3 linked regions of the Oryctolagus cuniculus genome follow. The protein of the gene in region 1 interacts with the protein of each later gene in a pairwise test. Links are inferred from orthologs where the notes say so. Each region holds a gene or a part of one and is shown on either strand. Other genes may lie near its edges. The genes, in order: SH2B1, INSR and NTRK1.

What was found.
Region 2: the proteins of SH2B1 (region 1) and INSR interact in binary tests that used the Homo sapiens proteins (3 or more experiments, as listed by UniProt). The link is inferred for Oryctolagus cuniculus from reciprocal best matches to the Homo sapiens genes SH2B1 and INSR.
Region 3: the proteins of SH2B1 (region 1) and NTRK1 interact in a two-hybrid assay, tested with the Homo sapiens proteins (2 studies listed by BioGRID). The link is inferred for Oryctolagus cuniculus from reciprocal best matches to the Homo sapiens genes SH2B1 and NTRK1.

The regions. Positions count from the first base shown.
Region 1 is NC_091450.1:7,706,068-7,709,634, reverse strand, and holds part of SH2B1 (SH2B adapter protein 1), read right to left. Parts: coding exon 3,288-3,567; intron 3,121-3,287; coding exon 3,019-3,120; intron 2,804-3,018; coding exon 2,712-2,803; intron 2,614-2,711; coding exon 2,438-2,613; intron 1-2,437. UniProt on the Homo sapiens protein: Adapter protein for several members of the tyrosine kinase receptor family.
Region 2 is NW_027208201.1:3,695,863-3,700,198, reverse strand, and holds the start of INSR (insulin receptor), read left to right. Parts: upstream 1-1,509; 5' UTR 1,510-1,880; coding exon 1,881-1,980; intron 1,981-4,336. UniProt on the Homo sapiens protein: Receptor tyrosine kinase which mediates the pleiotropic actions of insulin.
Region 3 is NC_091438.1:41,947,918-41,951,939, forward strand, and holds the start of NTRK1 (high affinity nerve growth factor receptor), read right to left. Parts: upstream 2,836-4,022; 5' UTR 2,766-2,835; coding exon 2,554-2,765; intron 1-2,553. UniProt on the Homo sapiens protein: Receptor tyrosine kinase involved in the development and the maturation of the central and peripheral nervous systems through regulation of proliferation, differentiation and survival of sympathetic and nervous neurons.

The sequences.
Region 1 (3,567 bases):
ATCTAATTTTTCCAAATACCCTGGGCCCTCCCCACTTTGGGCCTCTGCGCCTGCCGCCTGCCACCTGCCTCCCTGGGCTGTGTTCCTGGCCCTCACCTCCCCTGAGCTCCCAAGGCGCTTCCTGCTCGCGTGCTTGGAGGACACCAAGCACAGGCTCTGAGGGGCCTGCTTCTCACTCAGGGACGTCGGCGCCCGTGGAGGGCGAGGAGCTCATCTCGGGCGTGAGTCCCCGTCCTGCCCAGGGCCTGTGCCAGGCCCAGGCGCGCTGAGTGGCTGCTGGGTGGCAGACTTGAGCCCAGCCGACTGTCCCTGGCGGTCAGTGCTCAGGAGCCACACAGACATGGCAGACACGCGCTCAGGGCAGCAGGCTCTGCCAGTGCCACTCAGGAGGGCCTCAGAAAAGGCACCTGTGGGCGCCGCTCTGGCTCTGAGATCTGACTGCTCTGTTCACTTGCTGAGGACAGCCTGACTTCTCGGGACCGGGACGCTGCAACTTACAACACAGGGGCCGGAGACAGGGCAGCAGCAGAAGCAGCCTAGTCTACACGTGGCCTGGGGGAGGGGGGTAGTCTGGGAGGGGTGAGAGCAGTGTGTGTAAGGGTGTGTGAGAGGGTGGGAACAGTCTGTGTGTGAGAGGGAGGGTGGGGGCAGTGTGTGAGAGGGGTAGCAGTCTGAGTGTGTGTGTGTGTGAGAGAGAGAGAGGGAGGGTGGGAGCAGTGTGTGTATGTGTGTGTGAGGGGGAACAGTCTATATGTGTGTGTGTGTATGAGGGGAGCAGTCTGTGTGTGTGTGTGAGAGGGAGGGTGGGAGCAGTGTGTGTGTGTGTGTGTGTGTGTGTGAGCAGTCTGTATATGTGTGTGTGTATGAGGAGAGCAGTCTATGTGTGTGTGTGCATGCATGTATGGAGGGGAAGAAGTCTGTGGGGGGGAGCAGTCTGTGGGGGGGAGTAGTCTGTGTGAGAGAGGGTGGGAGAAGTCTGTGTGTCTGAGAGTAGGAGCAGTGTACGTGTTTGTGTGTGTGTATGGGAAGGGAAGCAGTCTCGGGGGAGCAGTCTGTGTCTATGTGTGTGTATGGGAGGAGAGCAGTCTGTGGGGGGAGCCGTCTGTGTGAGGGAAGTTGTGGAAGGGTGAGCAGTGTGTGTGAGGGGGGAGTTGTGGGAGGGCAAGCAGTCTGGTGGGGGCAGTCTGTGTGTGTGTGTTTGAGGGGGAGCAGTCTGTGGGGGGGGGAGCAGTCTCTGTGTGGGGGGGAGCAGTCTGTGGGGGGGCAGTCTGTGTGTGTTTGAGGGGGAGCAGTCTGTGGGGGGGAGCAGTCTCTGTGTGGGGGGGAGCAGTCTGTGGGGGGGCAGTCTGTGTGTGTTTGAGGGGGAGCAGTCTCTCTGTGTGGGGGGGCAGTCTGTGTGTGTGTGTGTGTGTTTGAGGGGGAGCAGTCTTTGTGTGTGTGTATGGTCAGGCCAGAAAGTAAGAGTCGAAAGGGAGGCCGCTGCCACTGCCCGACACGCGGAGGCAGGGAAGAGCTAACCTAAGATTTCTTGCCGGCGTGCTGGCGGCCTGGAGAACCGAGGTGCAGGCCTGTGGGCAGCTTGGGGAGAAAGCGACATGGCACGGGGTGGGCACTCAGCACAGCAGTCAGGACGTCCAGGCCCGTACGGGGTGCCCGGGTTCACGTCCCAGCTCTGCTTCTGGTCCAAGCTTCTTATCAGTGCGGCAGGTGATGGCTCAAGGACTTGGGTCCCTGACACTCACGTCAGACACCCGGATTGGGTTCTAGGCTCTGGCTTCAGCCTGGTTCAGCCCTAGCTACTGTGGGTGCTGAGGGAGCAAAAAAGCCTATCTGTTTTAAATAAAAAATGCTAATACAAATTTCAAAGTGACACAGCTGTTGCAAAAGGCTGGACAGGAATTTGCTCGGGGCCTGGGTGGGGTGGTGAGGGCGCTGATTCTAAACAGCCAACAGGGGGCCAGCACTGTGGTGCAGCAGGTTCAGCGGCCGCCTGTGGCGCCCGCAGCCCGCATCAGAGCGCCGGTGCCAGTCCTGGCTGCTCTGCCTTCCATCCAGCTCCCTGCCGATGCACCTGCAGACGCAGCGGAAGACGGTGACCCCAGTACATGGCCCCTGCCACCCACGTGGAAGAACCGGGTGGAGTTCCTGGCTCCCGGCTTCCGCCCAGTCCAGCCCCAGCTGTTGCAGTCACTTGGGGAGTGAACTTGCCCGTGGAAGACCTAGCTCTCCCTCTCTCTTTCTGTCACTCTGCCTTTCAAATACATAAAAATGAAATCTTTATAGAATACGGCCAATGGTGGCACTGAGAGTGGTGGCGTGTTCAGGTACAAAAGATGGGCTTTGGCAGGGCGGCGCGCTGGAGAACCTGCAGCGCCTGGGGCCGCGTGCGCGTGCGCGGTGGGCTCCGAGGCCCAGCTCCCGAAGGCTGCGCCCTTACCCTGCGCCAGGCGGTCGTTGCTCTCACTGGCTCCCAGCAGCAGGTCCTGGCTGGGCAGGCTCTCCGAGTGGTTCAGGCATGGCAGCTCCAGGCTGTCTGTGTTCTCCCGTGTGAGGAATGAGGTCCCAGGGGCCAGAGGGAGGGTCATGGGGCGGGGGCTGGTCGTGGGGCAGGGGCTGCAGAGACAGGAAAAGTGAGCCAGGTGAGCGGCACGGGGCTGCCCCCCCCCCCCCCAGCCCCAGGGCCCTGCGGCAGCGGCAGGCGGGCTCCTCACCCCGGGCTCAGGCACTCCTGGATGTCGGACACCCAGGCCTTCACGTGCAGCGCGTCGGCCGTCTCCAGGATATACTCCGCAGGGCCTTCCACCTGAGGCGGCAGAGGACAGTCCCAGCCAGCGCCAGGTCCCTTCCCGATCCTGACGCCTCAACCCCGCTCTGACGAAGGCAGCACCACCTCCCTCTCCATGCCCTTCCGGAAAAGCGGCAGGCCCGGCCCAAGGACGCGTCTTGGGGCACCTGACTTGCACGACCCCTTCCCCCAAGGGCACCTGCTCCGGTGCACGAGCACCCGCGGGCTCCTACCTTAACCACAAACGTGTTCTCCCGATCCGGCATCTCCAGGGCGGTGGTGGTCCGCACGTCCGTGATGGCAGAGCAGGGAATGCTGAGTCGGGGCCGAGACGCCTAGGTCGGGAACCGGAAGGAGGCTCTGCTGTGGGGTGCGGAGAGACCCCTTCCCCTCTACATCCCCGGGCTCTGCTTTCCCAGTCCTGCCTGAGACCCACACAGCTGGGAGGACGCGGGGGCGCTGCGGGGCTCCCTGCAGGACTGCGCCCACCCCGGGGCCTCACCTTGGGCGGCACAAAGAACTCCAGACGGCTCCCTCCTCCTCCTTCTCCTTCGCTTCGGAGCAGCAAGCGACACTTCTGCCACTGGGGCGGCCCCCCGGCCCCCGCCGCCAGCCCAGCTGTCCCCCCGGCCCGGCCCACTCCGGCTGGCTCGGGGGCTGCCTCTTCAGCCCCCATGAAACTCAGCAGCTCTTCCCTCTGCACCGTCCCTGCCCCTTCCTTCGGGCCGCCCCCTCCCCGACTCAGTCTCAGCCTCTCGAAACGGTGAGTCCACCTCTCCCCG
Region 2 (4,336 bases), on another chromosome or scaffold:
CTTTGGGGGTGTGTGTGCCTGAATGTGTAGTGATGATGTCCAGAGAACAGGACATGACAAAGGTCCAACCACCTTACTGCATCCAAGGAGCCTGGCGTCCAGTCACGAGTGGATGGGAATGGCGGCTCCTCCACTCTCACCTCCTAGGTGCTCTTGGCCCTGGGGTTCCACCACCTCCACACTCTGCCTCACTGGTATGTTGGGTTGATGGTATCTGCAGGTCAGATTTGGGGAGGTGCATGGAAAAGACGACTTGGGAAAGTCCTCAGGAGGACCCCAGACCCAAAGCATTCATATTCTCATTTTCTCTCTCTTTCTCTCTCTCCCTCCTCCCCCTATGGTTTACTTATTTATTTAAAAGGCAGAGTGATAGATCTTCCATTCACTGATTCATCTCCCAAATGACTGCCACGGCAGGGGCTGGGCCAGGTGGAAGTCTAGAGCCAGGCGCTTCATCTGGATCTCCCCTGTGAGTGTCACGGGTCCAAGCACTTGGGCCATCAAGTGCTGCTTTTCCCACGTGCATCAGCAAGGAGTTGTATTGGAAGTGGAGCATCTGGGCCTGGAACCTGGTTCCCTTTCCTGTCTTTATTCAGCAAACAGAAGTCCATGGGGCCTTGGTTGGCCACACCTTGCAGATCCAGTTCTCTCTGTCTCTTCTCTGTATGCCCCATGGTCTCCATAACATGCTCATCTCAGAATTCCTGAGTGTTTTCTGCATTTCTTTCCTGTTTGTCAAGGCAGACACCACGTCAGTGTTGTTTGGTTCTTCGTCCCCTGAGATGTATTAGTGGGCTGATCAATATTTGTTTAATGGGAGAATCAACAAACTATAAGGGGTTTATAGTGAGCAAAACAAACATAACCCATTTCCTTCTAGAAACCGAGTTGCCTGCTGGAAACCGCGCGAGTCCACCTGCGCCTTATCTGGGATCCCCCACGACCTTGCGAGGGACGCTTCTCCAGCTTGGACCCCAGGCCTAGGAGCGCGCGGGGGACGGCGACCAGGACGCACGCGTGCTGGCAGGCGGCCGTCCCCGGGGGCCCCTGGCGCGGGTGGGTCGCGCCCCGGGTTGGGGCGCACGCGCGTTCGCCCAGCTCCGGGGCCCAGGCGCGCCGCGGCGAGCGGGCTGCAGCCTTTAAGGGAGTGTCGAGTCACCGAGACAAATCACACGGGTGTGCCATATGGTGACAAGCCTCCAATGTGAACAAAACAGCAAAATGGCCAAGAAGGGGAGGCTCGGCCCGGGCCGCGTCGGGGCCTCGAGGGTGGGGAGGGGCGTCCCCGGGCTGCGGAGCGGCGCTCTGTCCGGGCGGGGACCTGGCGCGCCCCCTCGGCCCCCGAGCGCTCGGGGCCTCTGGCGCGCTGGGCGGGGCCGGGCGGCGCCGCCCTCGCTCCCTCCCCTCCGCGGGCCTCCCCCGGGCCGCTCCCGGGCGCCGAGTCCCTTCCGAGGCCAGATCCGCGCCGCCTTTTCCCGCGGCCCTCACGGGGCCCAGCTGACGGGCCGCGTTGTTTACGGGCCCGAGGCCGCCCTCGCTCCCGCCCGCCGCCCGCCAGCCCGCCCGCCCGCGCGCCCCTCTGTCTGGGGGGCCGCCGGTAGCGCAGCTCCGAGAGCACGCGGCCGAGCGTCCGGAGGCCCGAGGCGCAGCGCAGAGCTCCCGGGCCGAAGACCGCGGGCCGTGGGCCGCGCAGCCGCGTCTGTGGCGTCCGCGGAGGCCGCGCGCCCTTCGCGGCGCCGTCTCCAGGGTCCTCCCCGGCGGGCGTCTCGGGTCCGCGGGCCGTCCTGCCCCAGCGCCTCTCAGGAGGCCGGCTCCGAGCATGAGCCCCGCGGGCCGGCGCCGCGCGCTCTGATCCGCGGGGACCCCGCGCTCCCGCAGCCATGGGCGCTGGGGGCCGGCGGGGGGCGGCGGCCGCGCCGCTGCTGGCGGCGGTGGCCGCGCTGCTGGTGGGCGCCGCGGGCCACCTGTACCCCGGAGAGGGTAAGTTTAGGGAGGCTTGGGCGCGGGCTAGGGGCGCCGCGCAGGGGACGGGACCCTCCCCCACCCCCCTCGCCAAAATGGAGCCCTCGTAGTGGACTGAGCATTCTCCCCGCTGAGGGAGGAGCGGTGGCCGGGCCGGCCGCTGCGGCCCCGCGCGGGGCGGGAAGCCACTGACCTTGGCCTTTGGTCGCCCGGCCGCGGGCGCCTCTCCCGAGCGCGCCCCCTCAGAGCCCGGCTCGCTCCGGAGACGCCACCCGCGCCCTCTCCGGGTCGCCTCTGGGCTGTGGGGTCACTGGGTCGGGGCAGCCGAGCGCCCGCCCAGCGCGCACGGTTTGGAGCCGCAGCTCAGGGAGTTCCGCAGTGGGTGCCGCTGTCTGCGTGGAAAGGCTGGGGCCCTCCCTGCTACCCCATTCCTTGGCTCTAGGACTCCTGGCCGACCGGACTTCCGAGGCCCCTTGGTAAGGCCTGGGCATCAGCAGCCGTGAGAGCACCACCCGTAGTGGCCTAACTGTTGTCATTAGTGTCACCGTTAACCCCACCAGTGACCCCTGGAGGCGATTAGCGTCCTGCACCCATTTCACAGAGGGATTAATTGAGGTCTGGGCAGGACATAGTCTCACTGTCCAGAGCCAGGACTGACCTTCTCTGTGTCCAGTTCTGTCTGAGGCACTGGACTGCTGTCCCTTGTCTCACGTCTCCCAGGTACCCCCAGCCCCTCAGCTCTGCCCTTGGAGACAGGCAGGGAGTGACCCTCTGGTGGGCAGCCCTCCTGGGTGCTCCTGCCTGGGCAGCAGGCAGAGGTGGACCCCAATCCTTGTGTCTTCCTCAGACTTGAGAGCAAACCCCTTTGTGGGGACCCTGATGTTGTCCACCATGAGGTCTGAGGCTGTTGTGCAGCTGCTTTGGGTTTCTCGTAAAAGATCAATCAGGGTGAGGAAGGGGCTGGAACGAGATGGAGTCGAAGCTCCTTAACTTGCAGGTGGCCACCGACCCCAGTGTGCAGAGGGAGGGCCTGGTATACAGTAGGTGCTCAGTCCAGTGTGCTGAGGGAGAGCCTGGAATACAGTAGGCGCTCAGCGGCAGGTGGAAGTCGCTATTAGTTCTTGGTGAGAATACCCGTGATGGGTGGTTATACCTGTGGCAGGCTGTGTGCACGTGCTCTATGTTCTGTGCGGCTTTGGTAACCAACCATGGGTCTGTGCCTGGGCTTTCAGGGGTCAGCGAACGCATTTGCCGGCTTTTCACCTGTTCCTGGTTTCCACCAGGGGCACAGCTTTTACTGTTTTTGTTCACTTCTGCAGTTCTTGAGCCCAGAACAATGCTTGGGTGCAGCAGGCGGTCAGTATCTTTGCTCCCTGGGGAGCTGACCTGGGTGCCTGCAGTTCCTTTATCATCCAAAGAAGCACCTTAGTCTCTGTGTGATACCTGCCTAACACTCAGCTTGCACTGTCTTGTGGGTTTGGCAGGCATAATCTTGGGGCATCCTCACCACACCCTAAGAGGCAGGTCGATGAGGAAATGTTATGAGGTTATAGGGCCAGCGTACCTGCTGTCCTACAATCCCCTGAGATCAATGAGATGGGGAGGGGCCAGCGACTTGCCAGGCTACCAGTCACTGACACCTGCCCATATGGTGTGAGATCAGTGTGATGGCTGGGGATGGACTGGTCTGGTCTATTCTCCCCTTGGAGGTTTTGCTGCTCTGCGCGGGATTGGGCGAGGATCTCGTCCTTCATTTTCTGCTGTGCCCTGAGCTTTGGGAAGTTAGAGGAGCAGCGTGAGACTGATTAAAGCAGGGGTGAGCGGAGTTTTGGGGGCACTCACTCCTCTCTGTGATGGTCACCTCCTTGCAGCTACCCCTTAACTATTGCTTCTCTCCTGGAGACCAGCCCCTCACCCCTTCCTTACTTGTTCCCAGAGACTCTGGTGGGGACCCCTCACCCTGGTCCCTCCGTGGTTGACACTGATTGCCCGTGGCTGCAGGGCCATATTGGGCACTGTGGGGTGTGGGGCAGCATCTCCTTGCCGGTGGCATTCCTCTGGCCCCTGGGTCGCGACAAGCACAGGTGCCTCCCGAGCCATTGCACGGGAGGGTGCTGGGTGTTGATTCCGCTCCCCTAGGGCTCTCTGCCTCTTCCTCTCTTTGTTCAGGAATTTTCACCTGCCCTGAGCCTTTCCCTTTTCAGCCCACATAGAAGCCTTGCACTCGGTCACCCAACCTTGACCTGAAGCCCCCTCCCTCCCCCCTTCACCTTTCACCCACTGGTCTGGCTATGGCGTCTTGCTGGTGTCTGCACCGCCCCTGGCTCTCTCTCAAAGGTAACCTACCCCTCCCAGTTGTGTCTCCTGCAGCCTG
Region 3 (4,022 bases), on another chromosome or scaffold:
GGGCATTCTGCTTTCATTCCAGACCTCCCCTGCGTGTGCTCAACAATGGGGGTCATGCTGAAACACCTGCTTCCACAAGGGGCTGGGCTCAGCCCTGCCACTGCCCCACCCAGCACGGAGAGACCCTGTGTCCCTGCAAGCATGTGCCCCAATCACGCCTGCCCAGGGCCCACTCATACCACTACACACACACACACACACACACACACACACACACGTACACACTCCACCTTCTCCACCCCCTCAAAGCCTCTGGCCCCTTCCCACACTCAAGCATCAACCCCTTCCTCCCTCCACCCCTGCCCATTGGGCAGAGCAAGCAAGAAGCATAGAAGCTGTCAGGCATGGACCCCCGGACCCCTCCCTGCCCCAGGAGGGGCCCAGGCAGGAGGAGAAAGGGAATGAGAGAATGGAGTGGGAGTGAACTGGCTGGCTCACATGGCGAGAGAGGGATGGGAAGGGACGGCAGAAAAACAAAGAGAGCAAGACAGAAACAGAGAGAGTGAGAAAGAGAAGCTGATAGGGGGAGACTGGCAGAGAGAGAGAGGAGAAGGATAAGGAAAGGGAGACAGAGACAGAGAGATAAGGACAAAGAGGCAGAGAAGGCCAGATAGGAAGACAGCAAAGAAAGCAGAGCAAGCAGGCACCTGGGCTGGGGGCTGGCGGGAGCCCTGGGCTAGCTTCTGCACCCAGTGTGCCAGGGAGGTCCTGGGCACTCGGCTGTTCTGCAAGTTGCACGTCAGTGTGGCCCTCACATGGGCACCCGGGGCCCTGACTCACCGCCGCTTCTCAGAATGCTCCCACTCTACCTCTTACTTTTCCTAAGTAAGGACCAAATAAAGGAACCAAGACTAGCTTCTTCCTCCTCCCAGCCCCCCTTCCCAGCCTTGATCCCAAGAGGCCAGGCAAGAATCAGGTCCTCCGTGCCCTGAGGCTCAGGGAGCAACCTCTAGAGACCCGGAAGGAGGGCAGCTCCTGGTCCTCTCCACCCTACAGCACCTGACCGTAGGGTTTCAGGCTGCTGGGGCCCGGGGAGCTGGGAAGCAGCGGTGGCGGGCTGGGTGTGTGCAGGCTGTCAGGCAGCTTGCGCAAGGCTGCCTCAAGGCTGCCCCATTCGTTTGGATTCGTAATCAATCTGTCTATTGGAGTCCATTATCTCCTCGTTAGCTCTGAGGGTGAGGGAGGAGGGAGGGGGCTGCTGGTCCACCCAGGGGGACATCTCAGCTCACCCCCTGCATACCTCCTAGCCCCCGACCCTGGACTGTCCACCCTTCCCCCAGGCGTTTATTCTTCTTGGGGCTTGGAAGGGCACTGGGAGATGAGAGCAGTGACAGGGAACCGGGGTCCCACTGGGACGCCTGGGGCGATGACTGGACAGGCTTCAGGTCCCCTCCCAGCATGCAGAGACCTAGGCCCAGACCGAGACAAGGCCATCTCCTCTGCTCCTAGCCTCCCCAGGGCCATTAGAGAGAGCTATTGAGTACCTTCCCGTTAATTACCACGAGATGCCCGAGCAAGTCCGTGCCAATTATTACAGGCTGCTCAAGTAACTTCCAGACAGTGGTGGTAGACCCCGCCTCGGACACCTTCCAGCCCCTCCCTGCACAAGGCCAGGGTCCCTTGTCCACCTTCTCAGCCCCAGGCCACAGGAGCAGGATTTTTCTAGCAGCTCGTCCCTGCTGCCAGGAGTCCTGCTGGCAATGCTTGAGTATTTTCCAGCCACTGTTCTGTGATGCTTCAGTACCTCGGGGCCAGTTATTACAGCATACTCCCATAGGTTTCCCCAGCCGCTAGAAAGTAGCAGAGTATTTGGTGGCAAATGGCTGCAGGATATCAGAGTAGTGCAAAACGCTGCAGATGCCCCTGGGCTGCGGGCAGCAAGGGGAGCGGGTAGAGGGGGCTGGGCAGGGGGCTCTCAGCAAAGGCCTGACTGTGCCCCAAGTCGAGACAAGGATGGAAAGGGAGATGGTTGGAGGGGGGCGGCTGGAGAAGCCAGGAGGGGGTCCCATTCCCCACATCCAACCCAAGGCATCCTGGATTCAAGGGATGGTGGAAACCGGGAGAGGAGCCACTAGGTTCCGCCAATCCCAGCTCAATTCCCAGTCCCAGGGCAAGGGCCTGGAGAGCCCGGTCATGACAAGGGCGTGGGGGCTAGCATGCCCCCTAGAAAAAGGAAAAGATGGTAGGGGTGCCAAACTGAGAGGGTCTCCGCGACCAATCCCCCGCCTCCAATGGAGCAGAGCTCGGGCTCCTGGCTGAGCTCCAGAAAGTGCCTTAAGATAGCCGGGCTCTCTCAGACCTGGTCCACGGAAAATGCGCTCGCTCTCCCCGAACCTGGCGCCACAGCTGGCCTGAGCCCTAGGCGGCAGCCAGGTAGTGACGGCGGGGCTAGCAGGGGCGGCTGCGGCGAAGGACCGCCGAGACCCCGCCAAAAGACACGCAGGGCCAGCCTCCCGCCGCGCCTGACCCAGCAGGCAGGCGGTGAGTCCGCGCCCTCGGGGCTCGGTGACGCCCGCCCGTCCCCGCGCTCCCCCTCGCCCGCCGGACACTCACAGCTCTGTCAGGTTCTCGATGCCCGGCAGGTGGCGGAGCCTGTCCAGGGCTCCAGGACGGGTGCAGAGCAGCCCCGAGGGGCCGCGGGGGCAACAGACATCGGGGCAGAGCGCGGCACCCGCGGATGCCAGCATTAGCCACGCCAGCAAGGTGCCCGGCCCCGTCGCCTGGCTGTGCCAGCCAAGCTGCCAGCGCCGTCCGCCTCGCAGCATCGCGGCGGCGCTCGCCTTACCCCGGCCCGGCCGCCGTCTGTGAGCTCCCAGCTGCGGCTGCCGGGCCTCCCCGCACATGTGCGCGGGGCGGTGTTAAAGACCCAGCCGCCAGGAAAGGGCGGAGCCAGCGGCCCCCGCCCGGCCCCGCCCCGCCCCTTCTCTCCAACTCCCGCACCTCCGCCGCCTCGGCTTTCGGGAGCCCGCAGCGCCAGCCTTGTAGCTCAAGATTCCCCCAGGTCTGGGAGGGGCGGAGGGGCCGCCGCGGAAGGTCTCTGGCTGGCCGTGGGGGCACGGGGAAGTTGATACATTATTTTTCCCAGCCTCAAGCAGCTGCCTTTTGACATTTTGGGGGGAGGGGAGATGACTGAGCCGTCCAGGTCCGCGTAGACAGCCCCCAGCCTCGCGGTGTGCTCGTCTGTGGGAGTGACGTCATTTGGGGTAATTTGGGTGAAACGCTCTGAACCCTAGGAAGAAAAGGAAGAGGAGCCCCCAAAAAAGGACCAATTGCAAAACAGAAGGGACAGAGAAAGGGAAGGGGTCAGGGAGCCGAGGCCCTGCCGTCCAGCAAAGGCCACAGGGTGGCGCTAGAAGCCTGCGCGCTAAGGTGCAAGCCTGGGACCCAGGTTGGGTGGTTGGATGCGGGGGTGCGGTCTGCAGCCCTTTCTGCGCCATGCCACGGGTCCCAGCGTCAGCCCTCGGTGCCCGGCCGGGCAGGACCAGGCCGAGCAGAGCTGGCATCGATCGCCGCCTTGACAAGAGCATCGATTTCTGCGCCGAGAAATTAATAGGTCTTCTCTTAGCCCTTCGGCCGCGGGAGCCGCCCGAGGGTGGAGCTGGGGACCGGCCGGCCCTCGGAGGCCGCGCACCTGGAAAGTACCGGGATTCCCAGCACGCAGGGCTTCCTGCGGGCCTTGGTGGCCACAAGGGCCCGATCTCTCTGCCGAGGGGAGGGGCAAACAAGGGCCCCAGGGCGCGAGCTCAGGCAGCACCCCTGGTCTCCCGATTCCCCGGGGCTGGGGCACACAGGAACGTCTGAGCAGTCCGGGTCACCAGGAAGGTGACCAGACAGGCAGATCCCCGCGGGGTGATCGCGTTCCTCAAGGGGATCCTGGCCAGGACTGGGGTACGTGGCGAAAACCAAGGCTCGCGCCAAGGGACCCAGAAAGAATGGCCAGGGGGGCCTCCTGGCCGAGAAAGGCTCCAAGACACTGCCCACGTTCTGGCCAGGTTTCTAGGAGCTCGCTGCGCTAGCCAAGG